Styela clava: one gene and its partner. The protein of the gene in region 2 interacts with the protein of the main gene of each other region in a pairwise test. Links are inferred from orthologs where the notes say so. Each region holds a gene or a part of one and is shown on either strand. Other genes may lie near its edges.

What was found.
Region 1: the proteins of zinc finger MYND domain-containing protein 11-like (region 2) and PDZ and LIM domain protein 7-like interact in a two-hybrid assay, tested with the Homo sapiens proteins (2 studies listed by BioGRID). The link is inferred for Styela clava from reciprocal best matches to the Homo sapiens genes ZMYND11 and PDLIM7.

Annotation. Positions count from the first base shown.
Region 1 is NC_135261.1:7,125,271-7,138,436, reverse strand, and holds PDZ and LIM domain protein 7-like, read right to left. Parts: upstream 5,164-13,166; 5' UTR 5,005-5,163; coding exon 3,946-5,004; 3' UTR 2,071-3,945; downstream 1-2,070. UniProt on the Homo sapiens protein: May function as a scaffold on which the coordinated assembly of proteins can occur. May play a role as an adapter that, via its PDZ domain, localizes LIM-binding proteins to actin filaments of both skeletal muscle and nonmuscle tissues.
Region 2 is NC_135252.1:4,483,656-4,496,424, forward strand, and holds zinc finger MYND domain-containing protein 11-like, read right to left. Parts: upstream 5,413-12,769; 5' UTR 5,403-5,412; coding exon 3,579-5,402; 3' UTR 1,915-3,578; downstream 1-1,914. Other genes in the region: dnaJ homolog subfamily C member 16-like, read right to left, coding at 462-623, 725-863, 1,255-1,476; sin3 histone deacetylase corepressor complex component SDS3-like, read right to left, coding at 6,524-7,456; tRNA (guanine(6)-N(2))-methyltransferase THUMP3-like, read left to right, coding at 8,974-9,651, 10,571-10,668, 11,137-11,303, 11,376-11,475, 11,887-12,091, 12,605-12,751. UniProt on the Homo sapiens protein: Chromatin reader that specifically recognizes and binds histone H3.3 trimethylated at 'Lys-36' (H3.3K36me3) and regulates RNA polymerase II elongation. Does not bind other histone H3 subtypes (H3.1 or H3.2).

The DNA of each region.
Region 1 (13,166 bases), on a different chromosome or scaffold from region 2:
TCTGCATGCTTTTCTTGATTAATATTACCATACCAAAAAAGGTTATGAATATTTCTTTTTTTAAACCAGAAAACTGTCAGGAACAGTATAATATTCCAGAGCTTCACCATGACACCCAGCGAGATAGGAACTTGTTACACATGGTCCCGAGACGTGCAACAAAAGCGGGGGCCGATGAGATATTTTCCGGGTGATGCACAGCAGGATTTTGAGCCCGATAAAACCACTACTCCACAGTCCAGATTTATAAAAGAATCATTGTCACAATTCATTTTCGAAATCTCTTGATAACGAATACCCATCGCTAAGTAATCGAGCAAACAAACTGTTGTCCGAATATTCAACCAGTTACTTCTAGCTTAAAATTAAAACGAAGCAAATAAATTGACTGTGAGCCGCTGCAGAGCTACGTGTTGCAAAACCTTTTTTGATGCTTCGTTTGTAATCCTGTATTGGAAACGGAAAAGTAGCAAAATTCTCACTGGAGTTAATTGTGTTTGTACACGATTTAGCATGTACCGTACTACATCTTTTTATGTGTGCCCTTTTTATTCATAATGGGTGGAACATTATTTGATCGTTTTTCCTCATGTGAAATGTTTTTAAGTGTACCTTTTTTTCTAAAAGCATAGTGATTGCCCGATTACGCAAATATATTATGTTATTATTCCCTGTTCCACTCATTTCAATTTTTGCCGGTCCGCGAGTACATTTTATTTAATTTAACCGGTCCGCCAGAGTAGAAAGGTTGGGAACCACTGCGTTAGACAACTTTTTACTCCTGCTAGTTGTGTAAACCCGACTGCAGGTGGGTGCAAAAAGATACCTTCAATTCATCGACGCACCCAATCTGGAATGTGCATGACCATGGCGTTAACCTAGGACGCTGAGTAATTGCACAAACGGGAACTGGTCTGTTGCCTTTGTTTTATCTCTTGTGGTTGTATCATTTTATATATACAGTACTTTGACAATATAACCGTAAATATATATATATATATATATATAACTACAGTCGCTGAGTATATTATTTTATAACAAAACACTGATCACGAGTATTCACGACACATTCATTATTATACACTCTTTCTCATTTAGGATACAGACATTTGAAAACTTCCAATAAAGAGCGGGTCATTATATATATAAAGCATTGCACTTTGTGGGCAGTAGTACCCAACAACAAAATCAAACGTGTTATCCGTATGGCAACTATCAATAGCCTAAGGTTATTGAAATGGCCATTGGGGAAAAGTACCTAACTGCTTTCTCCAAAAGTTACGCAAACATTTCGAAGAATTGAAATTTTGACATAGGTATGCAAATTTACGCAGTTGCATCTAATTATTCTAATACACTGGCGAGCAACTCAGATCAGTTTGCAGTTTTAGCGTATACACTTTTTAGTAGTATTAAGGGTACCGGTAATTAAGGTCGCGGTGCGGGATGGACGTGTCGACGTCTCTGCGAGGGCACGGTAATAATAACTCGGTTAGAGGAAACAAATAGTAAAAGTCTAAAAGAGTTTATACCTGGAACGATTGACAACGAAAGAATTTTGTTGAAGGAAATCTGAACAATTCGACATGGGTGAATGGGTCTATCCATGTTTGTATATTTTCCTTTTTCGCACTTATGTTTTCAACTAACACGTTATGCAACATGCAGTCTATCATCACACCCTTCGCCCTGCATTTAGTCTTCGTTTCCACAATTACTTGCAAGATTATCTAAGATAAAGGGGAACTGTGAATATTTCTAAAACGAGATAACATATTCGTTCTAAATCTAAAGCGAGTGCTAAATATTGTGTTATTGTCATGGGGGTGTGAGTTTCCACACCTCGGGCAAGAACAGTGATTAATACATAACGATAGAGCGAACTGCCTGTTGTGTATAATACGCTCACGGCGATGAATATTACCAAATCGAATAAGCTTTAGACGTTTAACAAACCCGACTGAATGTAAATAAAATAGCTTCTATTGGCTTGCTACATTTTGGTAAACATCTCATAACCTGACAGGTTGTCAGCATAATAAACACAATGCAATTAATAATATCAGCATAAAAGGTTTGCCATATTTATTCAAAACCATATTAAAACATTAGGCTTAATATATATAATTGTTACAAAATAGTCATCCGGTTTGCCTTAACCTAAAACTAACAAAGCACCGAAAACGCCAGGGTTAGTAAAGGGCCAGCATAACCAGTTCAAAATTATTATGAATTGGGCAACATTTATTAAAGTGATAATTTACTGTTAAATCAAGGCTTCTGTTATAAACCAGTTCATCAAAGCTGGGATGTGTTTTCCAGTCAGTCATGGAAAGGAGAATTGGCTAAGTTTTGAGCAACACCAGTCAGCTAAACAGGACTTGAAATTTAGTATGGTATCCTGAATATATGATAACACCATCTGACTTTATCAGTAATATCCTGACTTACATGAGCAATATATTATATTTTGATGGCAAAATAGACAAAGCACTGTATATACCAAGCTACAGATTGTGTTAATTATAGACAATTGGATGAAAAATATAAAAGCAGAATAAGAAATATTTCAAGACAATGGACAGCATTTCAATTTATATTGAGCAAAAATATTTGATTGGAATGTAATTAATATGATCAAGAGGGTTTGATATAATCAATGCAGCGGAGATCGATTAAAGAGAGTTATTTGATAAGTAAAAGATCAATCCAATAATTCATACTATGTAGCCTATTACAAGCATTGATAAGTGACAATAATCACAATGAATTATGTATATGTACAGTAATATATCATATTAAAAGTGCACTTTATTGATGCGCATGTAGATAAAATGGTTATTAATAATACAACTGGGATAAAACAAAAAAATGCTAGTGCAAAATCAAAATTATATACAAAATTTCCACCATACATTTGATAACAATGATTTAGATCACAATTGACAAGGTTACAGCAATGGAGGCAAGTAAATAAAAATAAGTCTTACAGTAACAAATGATAACATGAATACACAAAATATGGAAAATCTTAATATTTCAAGCTATGTTATACGTTGAGAGCAACAAATTTCCGACCGATGATGATTTAGTCTTATCAATGCTGTGATATTCCGACAGCACAAATTCAAATGAGGACATTTGTTTAATTCTTTGACATAAGATGAAAAATCCATTTACAGAAGTTAAAAGCAACCATTCATAATAGAAAATATAAAAGCACTGATTGTAGTCACAACACTCACAAGCTACAAATATCTGAATGTAATTTGGTGATTCATATAAAAGTCAATGGATTGTATACTGGGCATACGTCTGGTAGCAAACAGAATTTTAAACAGATAATGAAAGGTAAATATTATATTAACATTCTAAAATGCCACTGCAAGCTTTACTATGAAAAGCATCAAAACTGAGGGCTACAATTGTGTATTTCCATGTTAACTTATTTTGAACCTGAGAGCCAATTGCAAAGGCAAGATATTGTTTCGTATAAATTTTTAATTAAACCACTCCGGGAAACATAGCATTTAGATTGTTGACAATAATTTCAAAATTTTTTATCGAGAGACACCATTTTTTTGTATGTATATTGTAGCAAAACTAAATAGAGCAAAAAGAGCTAATTAATTATACGAGCACTTTCTATAATTGACACTAGCTTAGTACAATAGTCATGATGCATTATTATCAGTCTTCCAATTGAGAAAGAAAAATGATCTTGATGTTCATGTTAAATTACAATAGTATTTCAGTTATCTGGTGTACTTCTGTAAATTAGAATCTCAGGATATAGAAAACAATGCAGCAGGAAAAATAATCTCATCCTAATCAGGGAATGTGGTTTTACCAGTCACCCATAAAGGATGACAATGTACCATACAAAACAACGCTGGGCGATATCAAAAAAATATAACATCAAATGAGTCTTATATGTTGTGTTGTTCATGCAACCCTGGCATTTCTGTGATTGCTACAAACAGGTTTTCCACCAGCTGCAAAAAATCCTACAGTTTTAAGGTCACAATGGCAAACAGCACATTCGAAGCACGTATCATGCCACTGTGCACTAAGTGCTTCCAAATAACTATCTCCAGCTTCGATGGTAAAGTTGCACCCTTTGCATACCTGGCTAAACAGACGATTGTAGTCAGTAATACAGTATGGTTGATCACCTTGCATTTGAAATACACCATCTTTGAAGGTTTGACCACATGCTTTACATACAAAGCATGTCATATGCCAGGTTTGGCCAAGAGCATGCATTACTTCGCCGACAACTTTTTTGTGACATTTTCCACATGTGTGAGCAAAATGCTTCTCATAGCAATCTTTGCAGTATCTCTCTCCCCCTTCGTCAATAAAGCCGATATTTTGAAGTGGTTTTCTACAATTGCTCGCAGCGCATACAAATTCATCAATGTGCCAATTCTTGCCTTGATGTGACAGATAAGGACCAAGAATAATCTTCCTACACCCTTCACATATTGGATCACTTTCATCCCCTTTGTTAGACTGTTGCTTCATCTGTGGTCCAGGCCCGAGCATGCTTTGTGGCGGCGGAGGAAGAGGCTCATCTGCTGGTGGGGGTGGAAGAAAATCAGGAGCGGGGGCTGGTTTGCTTGGTTGATACCGATTAGGCTGAGGTACAGAAGTTTGCACTGGTTTCACATAAGTTGCACTTGTTTGGACGGATGGCTTTGGTGGTGAAGAAATATTCAAATTCTCAACACCGCTGGTAGCATATGAAACACTATCATCTTTATTCTTGACAATTAATACTAGTGTATGCCCAGCGTTTTTTACTTGACCTTGAGCTTCCATATGAGTCATATTTGCGGTAGGTTGATTATTTATTTCCGATAAAGCCATGCCACATTTTATACCAGCACGATCTGCTTTTCCTCCCGGTGTAATTTTAGAAATTACCAATTCCGTACGGAAATCTTTTCCTCCGGTAAGACGAAAGCCCCATGGACTTCCTCCTTCGAGCGAGTACGACATATTTTAGTTATCGATAAAATAAACTTCTATTCAAACGAGAAAGCGAATTCAAAGTCTAGTTGTGACGAATAAAACTGCGAAAGCTTAAAACTTTACTACCTTGATGCGGCCGCTACCGACGCCTGCGAGAAATGACACCGGCGTAACAAATGTAGGCTTGACCCGAATATGGATTGCGCATCTTCCTTATAAGGTAATAATTACGCGCACGAACACACACACACGCGACAGATACAAATGCGCATTACGAGTTCGCGTAAATTCTGACGTATACAACTTCCAAACGTGTAAAAACAGAGGGCGGTTCTCTTTTTTTTCAGATATAAGCGATGACCTAATACGCTATGATATTGCAGCTTATGTCACATATGCAAATGATAATATATCACAAGAAACCAGAATAGTACAACCGGGAAAAATGAATAGAAAAAAACTTTAATTGCGTATTTCTCGCCTTTATGTTGTTAAATCAGCCAATTAACAAACCACCTCTGTGGTGAGCGCAAATTGTGTGGCAAAATTCCTTTGTAAGCAGGACAATTCTACTTTTTAAACGCGCTATTCTCACCATGTCCATAGTCGAAACCTAATTGCTAGAGTATTGAAAAATAATGAAAAAAGGAATGCCATAATAACAACTATTTTTATTTCGGGGAGTTTTAAGATATTGTACTGCAGGTCCTTTCTCCTTGTATACATTCCTACACACTTCGGATCCGCTTGTGGCCCTTGCCACAAGGATAATCGAACGAGATAGTATCAATTTTATATCAGTCATGCGATTTATTAGTATTTATTTACGCATTGACCTTTATTCCGAAATGGACTCTCGACACCCTAAACCAGCGTTTCCCAACCTTTTTTGGTCGCGGACTATTTTCTCACCGTTAAAAATCTTTGCAGACTCAACGTGCGTTTATTGCAATTGTATCCTGTGTGAAGTAATAAAACCAAACACAACAGAATTTTAACGAATTTCAAAATCGGAAATTTGCCGCAATTACGCGTCTGTCAAAAGAGCCGACTCTTTAGTGTATAAATGGCCTTTTGTATCGCACAATATTCAATCCATGATAACGACGAGAATTTAAAATGTCTTTCTATTTTAATTTAATTGTGTTCATGGCTCGCGGTTGCGTCGACTTATGACAAGATGAAAGCATTACTTCTTTAAAATGCCACGAAAAGTAGCGAACAAATTAATGTGAGAATATATGGCCCGATTATATTTAGTTTTGTTAAATATTTTCTGCGATCTTGAGAATTTGTTATCTGCTTTAAATTTCCAGAAAGTACAAGTTGATTTAGTACTTATTAAAAAGGTAATTAAAACATATTAGTAAATCAAAAAAACTATTCATCGCCTTGGTTTAATATTAATTTAATTGTGATCATTATAATATGTGATTGTGTTGACGAAATAAAAGCAATACTACTCAGAAAATACCATGACAATCCGTGGACACAAAAATGCGTGGTAAAGTGCCCGATTATATTTTGTTTTGATTCGTATTTTTGTGAATTCGACAAATCTGAGCTGGTCGTACAACACTTACGGCGCTCCAGTACTGTACGTACCAATGTGCAGGCAGTAAAGCAAAGAATCCTAAGGGAAAATGCCCTGATACATACGGTAGCACCCGAAATTTTGCGATTTGCAATGTCTAAAAAGCGATTTTAATCGGTAGCGGACCATCATAAAACAAATCTTATGGTGTTTTACGTTTTATTTTTTGTATTTCCGCTTTTTCATTTGAAAAATTTAGGTTGCCACCATTGACACCAGAAAAAAAATTATTCCTCGCTGCTCGAGCTCGTGAGAAACGCCACTTAGCTATCCATGCGTGTGCCGACTCGTGTTTTCGTCGGGAATCCGCAAGTGAGTTGTGAAATCCAATCGTTTGATTAAGCGACGCGCAAGTGACCTGTCGCTTCACCTGACCAAATTTTCGAATAGTAAATTGCTATTCTAATAGTTGAATTTTCGAATACAGTATATATATATGTCCACTCAGTATCCAGTAGTTATTGACTCGATTAATGTTATGTGAATAAACTTGCTTTTAATGTTTTATGTACATTTTAACGTAAATCGTAACTTGGCTGATGGATAAGTTTCGCAAAAACGTTTGCGGCCCGCAGTGAATTTCTGACTCGTTGCGGACTCATTCAAACGCTCTGCGGACTCATTTGAGACCGCGGACTCGGGTTGGGAAACAGTGCCCTAAACACTTGATCTATCCGTGCTCATTTTTTAATACGATTCATTCTCTTTTATACATCGTTTACTCGCACCTTTCCCCTCGGACAAGCCCAAGCAGTCATAACTAGATATTAAGTATAACTATCTATCAAAGACCCGTGATTAATTTTGAGCGATACTGGGATATGTATATGTATGTATGTATGTTTATTCGTCTCGTTATAGTGATACATAAATAAATAAGCTCTCCGCGGACTTGGTTCATTTTCGAAGATATCCAAGCTATACAAGTGCGCAATTTCATGAATCTATTTCGGTTGGTTCGTTCGGAGGAAGGATGATTTATAGTATTTCGAAAAACGTCGGTTTATAACTAGGACTGGGAATTTCAGGTGAAACACTTTAACCGTTAACCAGGCAAAATCAACCGGTTAATCACAGCGTGACGTTTGACCTGATAATTTTACTCTTTTACTTCACAATGGTTACAAAGCAACTTCGCGTGATCTTATCCCGGTATCGCTCAAAATTATTCACGAATGAAGATAGTATCATGATCGCTCTGCTGCAAGAGATATGCTACCTGCTTCGGACATTTGAAAATATTTTACTTAAACCCGAATCCGTTTTTAAATGTCATTCATGTGACAAATTTTCAGTGTTCGGCGTGCAAATTCTACTCTGAGATATCATGAAGTAACACAGCATCGACTGCGCACTTGTTGAATGACATTGAATATAGTATTTTGCAATAAAAAATGGTGAACAATATATTTCGACCGAAAACTGATTCTGAATTTATCATTGTCAAATGTTCATAATCAGCAATCTTGGTACTTCAATTATTTTTCACATTTATTAGGTCCTTACCATGCAGTTAGTGATATTCTTTCGAATTAAACGATAAATTTGCGATGACGTAATCATCTTTGGAAAAATTGTACATTATAAAAATGACTTTTACCTTAGATGTCAGTTAACGGTTTAAATAAATCGTAACCGCTAACAATCTAAAATTGGCTAATCATTCCCAGTCCTAGTTAATATAACATAAAAGTGAATCGCAATAGAGGAGGGATGGCCAACACGTTGATCGCGATCGACCGGTTCATCGCCCCATCTCTAGTAGTCGATCCTGTCTGATGTTGAGTGAATTCAATAACATACTCCGACAAATTGCCTTGAACCAGTTTCACGCAGCGCCTGTTGTGTGTTTGTTCCAAAACTGGAAGAATACAGTACAGTGCATGCGCCAAATACGAGTCTGGGCATGTCCGATAGCGCAAATTATTACGTAACAAATGGAAGTTCCTCCGCCGCTAAGTTCAGAAATAAACTTGCAGAACGACGTGTTGCCGTCTTGGCCGACGAACGATCATAATACCTTTTGAAGTATGCGAAAGTAATTGACTCACTTCAAGAATAGTATGACAAATTTCATTCGCAATGGTAGCAGTGGCATCACAATGCCCAATTTTTACTAATTTCAAGCGATCGAATAATAGGACTTGGAAGAAAGGTGTAATCTATAGACAGAAAGTTTGAGCAGTCATGTAGGTAGCATTTATGGTTTGATAATATTTATTTTTCGCTGTTTAGAATTAGATAATACATGGATTTTTGGCAAGGTTCAAATTTTCAACACCTATACATAATATTTAGGCAGGGCTGAATATATTATGGCATTTTTGAATCGTGATCGTAATGTTTCGTTAGATCCAACTTAGCCTGTAGACCAGGGATGCTATTCATGCGAACATAACAGTGGGTACAAATGTATGCAGGTGCAAATATCCACGGGTAAAAATGTTCATGGAACGGAGAATGCGTGTGCGTGAAAATGATATGGGTGCAAATGTTCATGAATGCGGATATGAATAGGTACAAATGTACGTAGGTGCAAATGTATCTGAGTGCGAACTTCAACGGGTGCAAGTGTACATGGGTCCATATTTTAGACTTTATTGAAGATTTCCCCAAACTTTTGTGTGTTCATTGTTTTGCGTGTGGTTTGTTTCTGGGGGAATCAAATTAAACTTATACTCATATGCTGGTGCTAAAATTTATGGGTGCAAATGTGCTGTCACCAAGAGGTAAAAATAATACACGTATATTGTACAGTTTGGACGTAAATATATACTACTACTAGATGTCCAACTCCGCTCGCCGTATAATAAACAAACGAAGGCGATGTTGCACCTCCAAGTGGCGGGCGTCACGGTCGGTAGGTTCAGACAAGGTGCTTATCGACGACGACGCTCCTGCATCAGAGCTCGCAAACTCCCCTGTTCGTGTATTACTGATCGAAATATTTGCTGAGAGACGTGGAAAATTTGATAAAAATGAACAAATAACTGTGAAAATGAAGACACAGTCTGTCTTGTCGAAAGAAAGGCATCAAAAATGCGATGCATTGCAAAAAATGTCAGTCAGATGTAGGTAGGGTGGTGACGAAAATGAATACTTTGCACCTTATATTTATATAAAAAAAAAAAAAACTTAGCAGCATAGCGTTTTGGTCTCACTTTATCTCAAGTGTTGTACCTTTTACAGAAGTTTTTTTCTCCATTTGACCTATAATCAGGGCTGCCATAACGTCCTTATTTCGAAGGCCTTTGTCTTAGAAAACATTTTTGCCCTTTTTTTCAACAAACGTTCTTATTTTGACATGTGTCCTTATGAATGAATATACCGGTAAATTAAACTTTGAATTTGGTTTAGATCTGGAACTTCATAAGATATGATTATTCATAAGATCAATGATTATACAAGGGTCGCACTGCATGATTACATTCTGTTTATTACATTTCATTCATTGTTATCTTATTACTTTGTTTCCCTGTCCTTATTTTGAGGTTCATATCGATGGCAGCACTGCCTATAATTATAATACTAAATCTAAAAGCGTAATAACCACCAATCTCACAGTCGAAGAAATCAAAATTTTAGATTACATAGCAGGATATGTTATCAGAAAAATTTATCACAGTGAAGGAATTTCAGCTAGTCATAAAACTCATATTGTTAAAAAAAATTACGCTTTCGAAAGTGACAGAAAGAAAAGATTTCACAACAAAACATACATTAACGTTAATAGTGGCATTGATGTTTTTTGAGGCTTTGGGAGTGGTTCTTAGTGGGGGTAAATTTTAGGTTCTATCACATGCACATTGCCACAATGCTTTTCAATGAATTTCTCATTATATGTGAACTGGAGCATCGATGGATTCTCAGCCCAGCAACCTGGAAAATATGCATCTTTTAAACTGAAAATCTTTTGGTGGTTTATTCAATATTTAAGGTCATGGGCATAGGGAGGGTTAGTTGAAAAGTTAGACCAAAACCCCTAGAAGGTTTGAGCGGAAGCCGGCAAATGTGGGTTTTCAATAGTCCAGATGGTCTGACTTTAAAAAGTGTTTCAAGCCACGAAAAATTTATATGTATGATATAGAAAATGAATATAGAAGACTTTTATTTTACATTTAAGCGGAGGGGGGGGGGTCTGACAGATGTTTGGTCTAATATGGTATATTTGGAGACTTTCATACGTTGGAGAAGCAATGAAATGTTGTTGTTTTTTATCCTAATGAGTTGCATGCAGCTGTATAGCATTTATTTTTGCTAATCACCTGTTGTAGACTTCAGTGTGTAAAATAATTTATGAAATTTTGGCTGATCCACTGCAGTCTTCTGTCTCCAGATGTTTCAGAGGGAGTAGATTTCCGTTTTTAAGATAGGCCACGTTTGTAATGCTTCTGCATATGCCAAGAAAGGTATTCTGAAGTTTGCAATACTTGGCAGTTGCTTCAAATTCACAGATGCAGGAAGAACCTAGAAAGAAAAAAGTCCATGGTTCATCTGTTATTGATGACCTGAATAATGTTGGTAATTCCAGAAATAATAATCATGCTCCAAGTATTTAAATGCTCAATAGGAGATAGATCCAATAAAAAATACCAATAAATTAATATCTACTTACAATACTTTGTGCTATTCCTGTGCTGAATATTTACCAGACATTTTTGTCAAGCTATTGAGTTAAACATGTTGGTCTGTTAGTTTAAATGGCTGTTTCAAATGTTTTTTTAGATCTTCATAATCATAAATTCCCTCTAGATGTGTTTCCATGCCAAAACCCCATCTGGTGACAGCAAATCATTCTTCAAAAGTGAGTTTCGAGCAGTCTGCAAAAATTTATATTTTAGTTACAATATTTTGAAATAAATTGCCTACAACGATTGAAGCTTGGACCTTGTCTACCATCTAAGCATGTGTGTTTCATATATATAAGTATAACAGCCACTCTGACAAAGTGTTATTTGAAACAAAAATGTGAATACCTCATAAAACAAACTGGAATTAATAAAAGTAACGGTTCCAGGAGAAATATTCATGCATTCAATGAAAAAGTTATTGCTATTTATTACAAATCAATAATTTAAAAACACTCGACAAAATGATGCAAAATTTTTTTGGCATATCTACAATCATAAATATAATATATATGTTGAAGCCATGTTTAGATAATAGCAATGATAGGTATCCAATTTATGTGAATAAGGGTATTAGTACCAGCATGAAATCAAGCAAAATGGATTCACATGGCAAACGTAAAGCACCTCTTATGTTGTCATATGCAGCTGGTGACTTCGTATACAATGACAGAATGAATGGAAAAAAATCCATCATAAAACACTCATTATTTGAAGTTAAAATATGTGTGATCAATTTATGTGGTATCGTTCACCACATATATTTTTTGCCGAGAGTTTTAATTCCTCAATCAAAAATTTTCATTGATATGGCTGTATGGTGTAAGTTGATTCTGATTTTTGAGATAAATTATCACCTGTTAGTCAATTTATATCCTTGCTTACTGCTACACAGCCTAAATCCTCACACTGCAACTTTTTTATGATCCTTTTCTTCCTGGAAATATACATATTAGGTTACATAATATCTTTATCTCCTATCAAAATTTACATTCCTTGACAAATCATTACTTCAACAACAATCTGGCTCCGAAGAAATGGATATTTGTTCTCCAATTGAAATATGAAATCGATCCCACTGCGATTATTTCGTCTTTTCGTTCACTCACTTGAATCATATGCAAATTTCCAGTCTTTCAATCTAAACTTATACAATATACCTCGTATCCGTATTGTAATTGTGGCGATTGCTGACGCAAAAGGTACCGTATATATCCTAGTTCAGGGTGGTCCAAACCCAGGCCCGCGGGCCACGCGTGGCCCGCCGCTTCATTATCTATGGCCCGCGTCACATTCGGAGAGTAATCAAAAAATCGCATTTCGTGTTGTTTCGTAATAAAATAAATCAGAAAAATCTTTTGACATATTATTACATCTCAAATGTCACTAAATTGACTAGTGTTATGGCTAGCTGAGGCAACTAGCGAAGTTGAATGAGGTGCTTGGCAGTCTAAATTATTATCTGGCTTTCTATTTATTTGGTCGGGAATATATGCAAACAATATAGGCATCATAGAAAACTTAAAATAGAATGCAGATTCTATTAGCCTGGAATAGCTAGGTCTGATAACTATGTGTTCGCACAATAAAAGCGTTTGTTTTGTATTGCACTGTTTACCTATACTTGGCACTATTGTGGCCCGCGAACAATGCAAAAATAATTTTGTGGCCCGCGGAGCCGACAACCTTGGACCACCCTTTCCTAGTTACTAGTATTCGTATCGCAAACGCAAAAAGTATGTCACGTACGCTAAAATGGAAATAACTGAAGAAGCGAAGGCCAGACAGATGCAACACGTGCGCACAGCACGTGCAGCTGTAAGCGCGTTTTGACAGCTTTATACAAGCATGGCGCTGTAACGAGGGTATCAATATATGATAAGTTGCAAGTGTGTGTTGCATCATCCGCTTATTCCTGCTGCTTTTCCGTTCTCGTATCCGCTTCAGACGCATGTTATTATCAATAT
Region 2 (12,769 bases):
ACTTGGTTGTAGATGCAGCCATACCTTGCCAGCATGAATCCGTTGTCAATACTATTGCAAAGAATTATCCCCGTGTAATATTCGGAGGGTAAGCCGAAATGCGATGGCATTCTTGGCACAACGAGGCAACCACCAAACTAATCACAAAACTCTTTAATCAATACAGTTTATTTACTACATCTTTGCATCTAATAAGCGTAAACTCAAATATTGGAGCTTTCTCAAGCCCAATATTTCTACTGAAATGAATAAATAGATGATACATTGCTATTCGATCGAACCAACCATCATTATTTTAAATTTAACTTATTAAGATAGAACTAAGAATGTTTGAAGAAAAAATATAATGGGACATGGGAGTATAGCACAGCCCAAAAACCATAGTATATCTATAATTAAATTTTACTGAGGTTAAGGCAGCATGTGGTTTACAATAGAAAAATGCAAATATAAAAACTCACCAAGGTTTTCAATATCAGATGCAGCTTTATGCCAAGTTGTTCTCAACCATAATATACATTGAGCACAAAATGTTGAGTAAACGTAAATGAGATGAGGTGTATGATGACTGTCTGGTAAAATTCTTGTATAATAGTCATGGATTGAAATAGTTCGACTAGATCCTGGAAGGGGAAGATTTTCCAGTTTTAAATAAGATTTTACTGAAACAATAACGATAAGACAACTACCAATTTTCCTATTTTTTATGGCATTGACTATTCACCTTGAGAACTGAAGAAGTCATGTGAGAAATCAGAATAACGAAAGTTGAAGGATTCGCTCTGGTGATGCCATTGTCCTACATTGTCACCAGTATAACCACCTGTATCATATTGTTCTCTCTTGTTTTCATCTGATAAAATCTGTAAAGAAAGACTTGAATGTCATGACAATTCACTTCAAGCTCTTCAAATTATCATAAAATAGGTTGTAAAATTGTATAGGAAATCTTCAGATTTGTGTTTTTTATATTAATTCAACATCAGGGGCATAGGCATTTTTTTAAAAGGGGGGGGGGGGGGGGGGGTTCAAGAAACAGAAGAAATAATTCACAGGCAATAGCTCCTAAAACAGGAGCAGCGATTACATGAGCAGCACTATTATGATATAATAACTAATTTTCCCCAAACTCTCAGTCTCAAATTGAGGGTCCGACCCACAAACCCGCCTGGGACATTTATTGAAAGTCCACGAATCTCATATACATGAAATGGTCAAACCTTGGGCACTATACTGTAAACGATATAGGCCTACCTCATAAGCTTGTTGTATCTTGATGAATTTCTCCTGTGCATTTGGTGATTTGTTTTTATCAGGATGCCATTCTTTGACAAGTTTTTTGTACTTAGATCTCACATCTAATTGTGACGCAGAATGATCTAAGCTCATAACCTCATATGGATCAAAATTTATTGTTTCACATAAAGTTGAAGTCAGCAGACATGCATGAAGGATTGAACAAATTCCAATTCTCATATTTACAAAGTGAAGATGCTGTAAAATGCGATAAAGAGAATATTTATTACAGGAGCTTTAGAACATATTATCTCTCTTGGATATTCTGGTTATCTCGATTTTATTACTCTATTTTTTGAACTCTAAATAAAACATTGAAAACTCAACTCAAACTGCATGCTATAGTTTAAGAATTCAACTACTTTCCTTAACACTGTGATAATAAATTTTATTCATAATTCAATTTGAAGTTACATTTCCTAGCAGTCTGATGGATTAAATAACATGAGAATTCAGGACTTCAAGAAAATTACGTGATTATGAGCCTGTGGGAAACTCAGGGAATAGACAACGTCAGTATAAATCCATGCAATGACTCAATATATTTGCTTTACTCACCGATAGAATCTATGTCTCGTCCTTTGTGTTATGTATCCAAAAAAATTAAGAAAAGACAACTTAGTTTTTAAAGCTTTACTAAAGTAAGGAATATTGAACACAAAATTGAGCAATGATTAGAATAAGACACAATGCAAAAAACACAAAAGAAAATTAGGCGTTAACAGATTTGTGTTTCTAAGTATACAATAAATCAAAAAATAAAAAAATCCATCAGAAAAAAATTGAATATACAACACCCCATTTGCACTCAATTATTGAATTTCATACAAATTTTCTGGTATGTGGACAGTCTTACTCATAAACAGTTTGCAATCACCAACAAAAAACTACCTGTAGATGGCAGACAAAAAATTCATGCTACAGGTTCAGATGATATAAACACAAATACAGTGAAAATTTCTTATTATTTTAACTCCATACTGAAAACAAGTAGGTCAATTACATTCTTTGATTGCAAATTTCTGTTATTGATTTGTAAAGAGATACGAAAAATTGAAATTACCGTAATTTACTCCCAATGGAAATGATATAATTTAGTTTAGAAAATTATTTCTATCTGGATCAAACAATGTAATAATGAGATGAATTTATCAATCTGCGAGATGGAATAAAAATCTCAGCAACGGGCAAGGACATATCTTGGGCGTTTTTCTGTATTGTAGACATTTTATCAATACCACCAACTTTTGAATTCAGCATAACCTGGATTGTTTCGATGAATTTCAATTATAAATATTTGATATTAATGGAGTTTTATCCATATGTCCAAAAATGAGAGTACCGGTATCTGATGATTTATGCTATGAACCCAGTATTCTAAAAAATTGGTCAAAACTAATGTGACATTGTTACCTTTTTTGAATTGTTCATTTTTATATTAAAACATTAGCAGAGCCGATATAACTACAGTATTTAAATTGAAAAAAAATTCCTTCCAATTGATTGAATTGAAATTAATTTGATATGGCTAAATATCAGCAACATTTTTACCAACTTAGGTTATTGGAGTAGCAGTATTGGCGGAGTAGCAGTATTGGCGAGCATCGTGATGTTGAGTAAATGTGATTTTTGTAGGAAGCATGATTACAAAGAGACAACACCAAGCTAAACTCAAGATTCATGTAGAAAGAGAAATATTATAATTCATGATTGAAAAAAAATTCTTTCATGTAATATTTTCATTCCAAATTATTGAACAGTGATTGATATACAGGTTTGTAACCAGTGTAGATAAAAACATAATACATAGATGAGAATAAAAAGACAAGTCTTGCGATGCAAGGCTATATGAAACATGGAAGCAGCCATTTTTATTTTTCACTTTCATACTTAAAATTTTTAAAGGCATACACAGAGATGAATTTTTAGTATGATGATAAGGTTAAATTAAAAAGATTCATTGACAGATGCACAGTTGGCGTTAACGCATGCAATTTTCTGTACTCCCGAAATGTGTGTACCAGGATAGGGTTAGGCCATAATTTATTAGGATTTTCCTCATTTTAGTTCTATTAGGGAGTTCAGGGACAGTCTGTGTTAGCCAAGTGAATAGGGACAGTCTGTGTTAGCCAAGTGAATATAGCCCCTGCCCATAGGTTTCAGTACTAGTACACATACTCCTGGAGCGCCCAATTTTTAATATATATATGAAACAAATTGATGACTGAGGATATCCAAATAATATAGTGAATGATAATCAGATCCAAGTTATGTAAGAAAAATTAAATTAATATTGTCGTGTCCATTACTGCACTTTCAGCGTTCTCAGGAAATCTTGATTTTAGCAATTTGTTTTCTGATTTTAATCGAGCTACTTCCTCTTCAAGATCTTGTGCGCGAGTGAATTGCTGTTTTAAATATCGCCGAATGTACAATGCACTTGAAATCAACAAATGCTTTCGCTCTACTGTTCTCATTTTTCTCACAGATGCTTTATATCGAGATAACACTAATTGATATCGTTTACGACAGTTGCATTTAAATGACTTGGACAATTGATTTTTTTCTGATTCCACTTTGTGTGCTTTTCTAGAACTTTGGATATTTGGGTATGCAAGACCAGAGTATTTTTTCTTTAAATTATATTTTTTGATTAAAACAATGCAGTCAGTTCCATATTGCCAAGTACGAGCACATTCACTATTCGGTTTTGCCTTTTCACCAAGCACTAAGATCTGCTTTTTTCTATCTGCATGCGTAGTTTGTATAATCCCTATCACAGCAGAACTTCCACTAGTATTGCTTTCAGATTCAGTTATGCTCTCCGGTTTAAGCCTAGACTTTGAGATTTTTAAACGAATTTTGCCTTGTTTTTCTGTCGTAAAGTCCTTCGGATTTGCCTTACGCTTTGCTGCTTTTGTCTGCAGCTCAATGTTTGAAAGTTCTTGTCCTCTATCAGAGGATTCCTCGCTTGAACATTCATAGTCAAAAGAAACAATTTGAGCAGCATAGTTTGACCCATAAACTTTTTCAGTCTGTATGATGTATTCTTTCATTTCAGCATTAGCTTTATTCCAACTTTTAGTTATCTTGATTTGTAATTCTGAAGGACTAACAACAATGCTTCTCATACTATCAACTTTAACCCATGCTCTCTCATGATGACCACCAAAAAATCGAACATCCACTTGATCATTATTTACTTGAATAACCTTAGCAGGCCAATATTCAAATCCTTTTTGCTTGGCCCAAACAACTCTATGAGGTGGCTGACATGGAGTGCTAAACCAATCTTTTGTTGGTTTTGTGCTGGACAGAAAGTAACAGTTAGAGCATAAAGACAATTCCTTGACTTCATGCATACATGTTTCCAACACACTTTTGGCAGATTTTGAATATTCATGGTTTTCACCGAGCAGAAGTATGCAATTATGAACAATCAGTTCTACATAACAAAGAAAATCCAAGGCAACTTCAAATTTATTCTCTTTACATAACTTCTCCAGTTCATATAAATTCATATGCTGCTTTATAAAGTAATTATAATGCATATAACCTTCCGCATCAGGATGATGCGATATCTCTGGAAAATTTTCCATTGCTCGGTGAGCAATAAATCTCAAACATTTGTTAAATATTTCCTTACTTTTTCTGGTATGATTGACATCCAATAACGCAGTATTTTTCCGTCTACAGTATTTACAACTTTTGGTTTCTTCTATTGAATTTTCCATACATTCCTTATGAAAAGCTTTCACACAATCTTTGCATTTCAAGAGTCTACCAGGTTTATGACATATGAAACAATACCAATCATGAGTTTGTTCATACCAGTGAACTTTAGAATCTTCTGGAATCCAATAACCTTCTTGTTCCATCCCAGCTTTGGAACCTTTGCAACCAACTGAAACCGTTTCTACAACCATATTGTCCTTCACAGCCTTCAAAATATGATGTAAAATTTCTTTTGGAGTATAGGAGTACTCTCTTTGTATAACTTTAGATATTCGGGAAAGATTGGCAATTTGACGTTGGCCACGAATAACATCAATTGCTTTCCAAATACGCTGAAGAGCAACGGGTTCAGAATGTCTACAAAATGACATTTTGTTTTATTAGGGTTTTTAAAATCTTTAGGCTAAATAAAAGAATAGAATGTTATACAAATATGTACAAAAAATAAACAAAATTCTGCTAAAGCAGCCACCGGTTGAAAGGTTGAAAATTAAGCATCGTCAGTTGTCATAATATGGTATTTGTTAGATCAAGACATTACAAGAATATGAAACTTATTCCTGTCAACTTAGGTATACAATTAAAAATATGATTGCTGACGATTCAGCAGTATCCATCAGCAAGTGAAAACAAATTGTCAAACGGAACCTTATTCTATTAAAACTGATCATAAAGCAATGGTATAACTCAACAGTTTATTTTCACTTCACACTATGACAGGGATAGGCAGAAACAGAATAATCCACATCCCAAACACAGGATGAAAAATAATTATGAATATGAAATATCTGAATCAAGGGTGTGTAACATTTTTTATCAATGGGCCATATAACCAACATCAGACATCTAGTTGAGTCACACAAGAAATTTAGCAGTAAAGACAAGACGAGAGATTGCGGCTTTCGCTTAGCCTTACAGTAATAAATGCATTGAGCAAAACAGCGAAAGATTCAATGCAGCGACAAGAGCAAAAAGAAACATTATGTATTTTATCCATGTGAGCGCCTTTATAAACATAAAACATCATATTAGGATTTGACACCCCTGATCTAAATAATATTCTAATATAATATCACTTTGAAACTATTTATGTTTGCAGTTATATACGACAGATGCTCCACAAAACAACTTTCATAGCAAAACATTTTAAAATAATAAAATTGCTCCCTGAAGAAGAGATGCTAAAATCAGACATCAAACCTCATACTTTTTTATAGCCTAATTCATGGATCTAATACAACAAAATTTCACAATCATAAAATTGTTTATACTCCGTAATATTATTAAGTACATCACAATATTAGCACAATGTCCACATACTTTCGTCTTAAACAAGTCTCTGGATAAGGCATTAGTGCATACAGACTTCCCACAAGACCCGTATTTTGGGGAATAAAAGGTTGTCATTCTCACAACAGTGCACCTTCGGTGACATCCTGTGGTAACAACACATTTACTGATGACATTATATGGTAATGCGCCAATGTCACTGTCATTGAGTCATTCTCTTTTTTATTCCATACTTTCCTCTATGAAGCTGTGAAGCAAATATCCGTACAGACACACCTGATGTTTTGCGAATTGTAATTTCTCTGTCAGCGATCACTGTAATAACTCCACTGAACTTTGTGTTATCTTTGTAATTATAAATAAAAACTGGCTGCCCCCTGTGATACCATTTCTTATCATATAATAATTTTCCTCCCTCGATTCGAGCTTCTACTGGTTGTCCACTCGTATTGTGAGATTCCACTGATATTTCATGAGAAAGTTTTGCTGGTTTGCCTTTGTTAATGATTTTAAGATCTTCTAGAATTTCTTCATCATCAAGTACAAAATTTAGTTGCGTTGGACTCGGTTTTCGGCGTTTATCATTATTTGCTGGGGCAGGGTCATGTGCTCGTCGACGTAAATTACGTTTCACTTGTGTTTTCGCATCTCCCATTGAAGGACAAACTCCTGTGAGCTCCATTGTATGACGCTCAGATTCGATCATTTTCTTTTTCTCCTGTAATTCTGCAATTAAGTTTTCTTTTAATTCAACCTTCTTTTCATCAAAGTCTTTCATAGCAGCTTTTTTCTCTCGTTCATATTCTTGTTCAACTTTATACAATAAATATTCTTGATGTGCATGAGCTTGTCTTTGTCTATCTTTGTGAACTTGTTCCAGTTTCTTCAATCTTTTACAATATTCTTGCAAAGTGCCAGAATCAAGTTGTGCTAGTTGCTTTTTTAGTTGACCAAGTTTGTCCCTATATATCTGGTCCAAAGCTTCTTCTTCAAATTTAGCTCGGTCAGTTTCACTAGCGTCATCCGTGTCTTCATCATGACCTCTGCTTTGCCTGCTCGATCTCCCCTCACTATTCTTTGGTGATTTTTCATCATCAAAACTGTCATATTCATCTTCTTCCGACATTTTCTTCATTTAGAGGCCTACTGTTTATAAGTTGTGAATAATTAGGATCTGCGTGGACACAAAGCGATACTTTTACAAGAATATCACATCTCCAATATTGTAATATGACTTTTATGCTACCACCACTATCTGACTACCGGTACAGGACTATAGAGAATATCCAGTCTCTGATCCATACGGTCATACCTGGGTCTACTGGTCTAGGTAGTTTAGTCAGTTAGTACAACAAGCATTTCTAGTGGGAGTAGCATAACGATTTCTGCATACAGGCATAGGCCTATCCTATGTCATTTCTAACCCCCATGACTATGCCATGTAAAACGCACGGTACCGGTACGTCACTGCAACGTCACAATCACTGAATAAAAGCTTGTCAAAGTACAGCGATTACCCGTAAAGGCGCATGCGAGTATGGAACAAACGCCGGCGACCTCTCTCGTACCTTCACCGTTTCGCAGAGCTAAAATGAATACGCAACTCAAGCGAGACACCAATTTTGACCAACGTTCACGATATCCTCATCTGAGCAACTTGTGATTTCGTGGGTAAGCACATTAATTTACATTCATGCAACTATATTGTACCACACTTAAGTAACGAGGCATTGTATGTTTTCGCTCTAAGCGAGGCTTTAGACAAGCAGAAGCGGACGTATTAATCTACGTTTACACAATGGGTGTAGTTGGGACCATACACCTAAAACCAGAAAGACTTGTTATTATACCGTGTGTCCTGCGATAGGTCATGTACCGGTATTGTGTCACACTTCATTAATAAGGCGTTATACGTTTTCACTCTAAGCAAGGCTTTAGTCAAGCAGGAACGGACGTATTAATTTACGTTCACGCAACACACACGTGAATACTATGACAGTTTAGCAGACATTTCCATTTTAGTATGGACATAGCCAATTTACTGATTTAGCAGAGACATAGCCTTTTTACTTTAGTATGGGCATTGCTATTTCAGTATGAACATAGCCGTTTTAGGATGGACATAGCCATTTTAGTAGGGCATAGGCATAGCAAACATATATAGCAATTTTAGTAGGGACATATCGTACCAAGCGCATAACAAACAATAAAAACAAAATAATTACAGAATCAGGAGGGCAAACAAAGCCTTATGTAAGCTTTAGAAGGTGCCAAATTTAAATTAAAAGTTTTACAACCGAAAGGAAGTGGAAAATATAGAATTAATTCAAACACAGCAAAACAGATAAAACAAATAAATAACGAGGGAAACTTAGGATAATGTTTCATAGTCTGATAGTACTATAACAAATAAAGTAGAAAACTAGAACTGTGAAAAATGAATCACATTGATAATTTTGTTATATGGATTGCCAATTTGAATACCGAATTGATAAACAATAAACTGAAATTGTGAAATAAACCCACTTTATGTTAAGGGCAGATGGTATCTCATTTTACTGGTGATACGGTCAACAAATAAGGCATAGTTATGAACGACCACCCTTTTACCCCTTCTCTTTATACTCACTCCCATCTTATTTTTCCTAAAGTATGAATCCCAACCATATTAACCCAGACAATAATGTCACTGTTGCTGCATCTGTGGCAACAGGGCTTGAAAAAGTGGCTGCAAATGAAATACAAGAAAAATTTCCATATATGGATAAGAGTGATGTAATTGTCAAGCAAGGTCGTGTGTATTGGAAAACAAACAGAAGTTCTTTAGCACTTGCTCATAAATTGAGGTCGATTGATCGCATGTTTTTGATTGTAAAAACATGTGAAAACTATATTTACAAGGAAACTAAAGAAGAATCTTATGCTGATCTTGTACAATTAGCAAGAGAAATCAACTGGTCTGATATTGTAAAATTTTGGGGCTACAATAAGCAGTACTGCAAAGGTAAATCAAGACAAGAAAACCTTTACAAAAAGTACCCAAAATCTCAGGCAAAAGGCAATTCCTATTGCAACGGGGATAAATTGGATGACTCTCCTAGGGAACCAGCAAAAGATGACATTTTAGCATCATCTGATACTGAGCCTCAAGAACCAAAAAAGCCACGAACAAGTCAAAATGGGACTCCTATTGTACCCAATATAGCCCCAGATGGAACATTGGTGCGATATCGTGTCACAACTAATAGAGTTGGAAAAAAACAACCTGTCACTTCCCCCGAAGCATCTTATCGATTTGGAGGCGAGATTCAAGATATTACAGATTGGCAGGTGAGGTTTTGTTTTCTAACATTATATTGTAAAAGATTGGACTGATTGTCTACACTCTACAGCAGCGTTTCCCAAACTGTGTTCCGCCGAACACTAGTGTTTCGCGAGCGTCTTCCGAGTGTTCTGTGAAAAATAAATCAAAAATACGTCTAAATGGGTCACCATGGCGATCTAGGGATCGTGAAGTTGTCGCCCAACTGACCGTTCAATATCGTGTCACCGTTGGCCTAAAGCGGACTAACTAAGGTAAGGTAGGGGCATATTCGTTAACCGTCGGCCTAGCTTTTTGACTGTTAAGTTCATTATCAAGTTTGCAGCAATCCTTTTGGTTTTGCTATAGGCAAACAGGTAGGTCTTAAGAATAAAGGCAAATGGTCAACTCTTCTTCCGTCATCTCTGTCTGATTTTACTTTGAAATGCCGAAAAAATTACTCATGTTCGCTAAACTCGATTCAGCAGATAAATAAACTGCAGCTCGCGAAGTTGCAGAAAGTACTTCTGTGTAAAACCACGGGCTGCCCATTTGTTTAACATAGGCTTTCTAGTAGTTGCAAGCAAAAATACTTTGGCCCCATGACATGCATTGTTTGTTTCGCACAAGCTAGTTAGGGCATTGTAACTTCATAGGCATAGATAAAAAATATTTGGACTCAGTTACGGTATATGCTTTACAACGTAAAGGGATTGAAATTACTTGCACGTACCAGATTAAACCAAATTGCTAACTTGTTACAATTTTTTCTTGTGAACCGCATTCGGCCCATGGGCCACAGTTTGCACACTCGTGTTCGACAGCCTTGATCACATTAAATTTCAAATCATTTCATAAAAAAAAATATTCTTATGCTGTCAATATCATTTATTAATAAATATCAAATTTTCAAAATGGATTGAAATTTACAAAGTGTGTTCATTTCAGGTTGATTTGTCAAATTACAACTTGGAGATTATGCTATGTCTAGGAGAGAGTTCATTGGAAGTTGCAGTAGCATTGACTCTTCAGAGTTTGCACAGAAGGTTATTATTAAAACAATATCTCAGTTGGTCAATAAGCCATATATTTAACAACATTATTACAAATGAAATAGATAATGGTATAAATTCTATTTTGTGTTTCAACTGCAGTCATATTTTGCTTTGTCTACAAATAGATCACCCCCGTTTTTCATCATTCAAGATTGAGTCACGAATGCCTTCTTATTTGCTGTTGTTGACATTATTGTTGCTTGTATTTAAAAATGTTATTTTAAATGCCAGTTTCATCCTATAATATTTTTCGTTTAAAAAATGTCAATTAGGCTGAGCTAAATAAGCAATTGAAATGTTGTACAGCACATCTTGAAATATGTAAATATTCACCAAGGTTTTTGAGAGTGTGAGGACTGAGGAGGTTAAAAGACACTTGTTTAGCGTAGTAATTTTATTAAAATGGGGATCTTTTAACCTTAATTAAACATAGTTATTGATATCTCTTTTTATTTTTAGGAATATTACTCATTTTGGTGCAACCACACTACGTGCTACAACTGCTTATTGCATGCTTAGAATGTGTAATATACAGACGGGAGAATTGGTTGTCGACCCAATGTGTGGTTCAGGTGCTATACCAGTTGAAGGTGCTTTGGAATGGCCAAATAGTTATCATATAGGAGGTATTGATTGCTTTGTGTCATTTAGTTCAATGTAAAAAATAACAGCATAATAAACTCAGCTCTAAATTTTAGGTGACAACACTAGTTCGGCCACAGAAAGATGTTCTTGTAATTTACAATTTATTAACGAAAATCCAGATTTTGTAGATGGACACCATGAAAAAGACAAAAGGTTGGTGATTATGATTTAAAATTGAAAAATACTCCAGTGTTAAATAAGGTAGACTTTGTCTAAAAAGAGATGAAAATGCTGGCTTTCATAGATTCATGATAAAAGGAAGTACAGTATTCTACAAATTATATCTTTTGGATCACTATATATAAACTTTATCATTTTATTATGTGATATGGATTTCTGACAAAAATTAAAATCAGAAACAAGTGTAATGGTGACGAATTTCAATGTTCTTGGTAACGGTAGAACATCGCTGCAGTCATGCATTTTACCCTGCTTTTCTTTAGTTGAAAATGCATCAATTACTGGTGTATTATAGATTCCGGTCGACATCTTTTGGATTTTATCATTGTATAAACTTATTTATTTGATTGTCCTTATCAATAATAACCATCCTATTTTGCAAAGAATGAACCTCAGAGCAGATACCATACAATGGGATGTTACTTGTCTTCCACTGAAGACTAATTCAATCGATGTTGTGGTATCAGATTTACCATTTGGGAAACGTGTTGGATCTAAAGTTGATAATCGTAAACTGTATCCAGCATTATTAAAAGAACTTGCACGAGTAACTATATGTGACAGTGGAAGAGCATGTTTGCTCACACAGGTATAATAGCCTTTACTTTAATTGTTAACATAGTTTGGTATGTGGATTGAATTCTTAGTTCTGCTTAGTGGTGCCTGGTTCGCAGACCATCATAGACACTTGTGACAATTATTGACCCGTTGTGTCTTCAGACAAAGGACACTTATGAAATTTCATATTTGTGGGTTCGGTATTGTTAGTTACAGTTAGCCTTAACTTTGATAGCCTTTGAGGTTTAAGATCTTGGGCTGAAATCCCATGCTCACCACCTCACACAGGGTGTAATAAATTGGCTATGCGATGTCGAATTGAAATAATTTTGGTTCGTCCTAAATGAAAGTTGCACCTTATCAATGACTGCTTATGCACAGCCTTTTCCGAGCAACTGAAATGCAAGCTGAAATATTTCAGCTTTGAGCTATTTCTTGCTTCAATATGCTATGTGTATATCTTCATAGAAAATGGCCATTCATTATTTATAAAAAACTGGCACAGTTTTTCTCCTATTAATTTCACCCTTTTAACATAATTTAGGACAAAAGAACAATTAAACGATCAATTGATGGACTTCACTTCCTATGGAAATTGAAAAAGACGCAATATATCAACATTGGTGGCTTGACAGCAGGAGTGTTCTTGTTGCAACGTACAAAGAATAATTTTGAGGACATGCCAAGCTAGATTAAAAATGAAAGATTA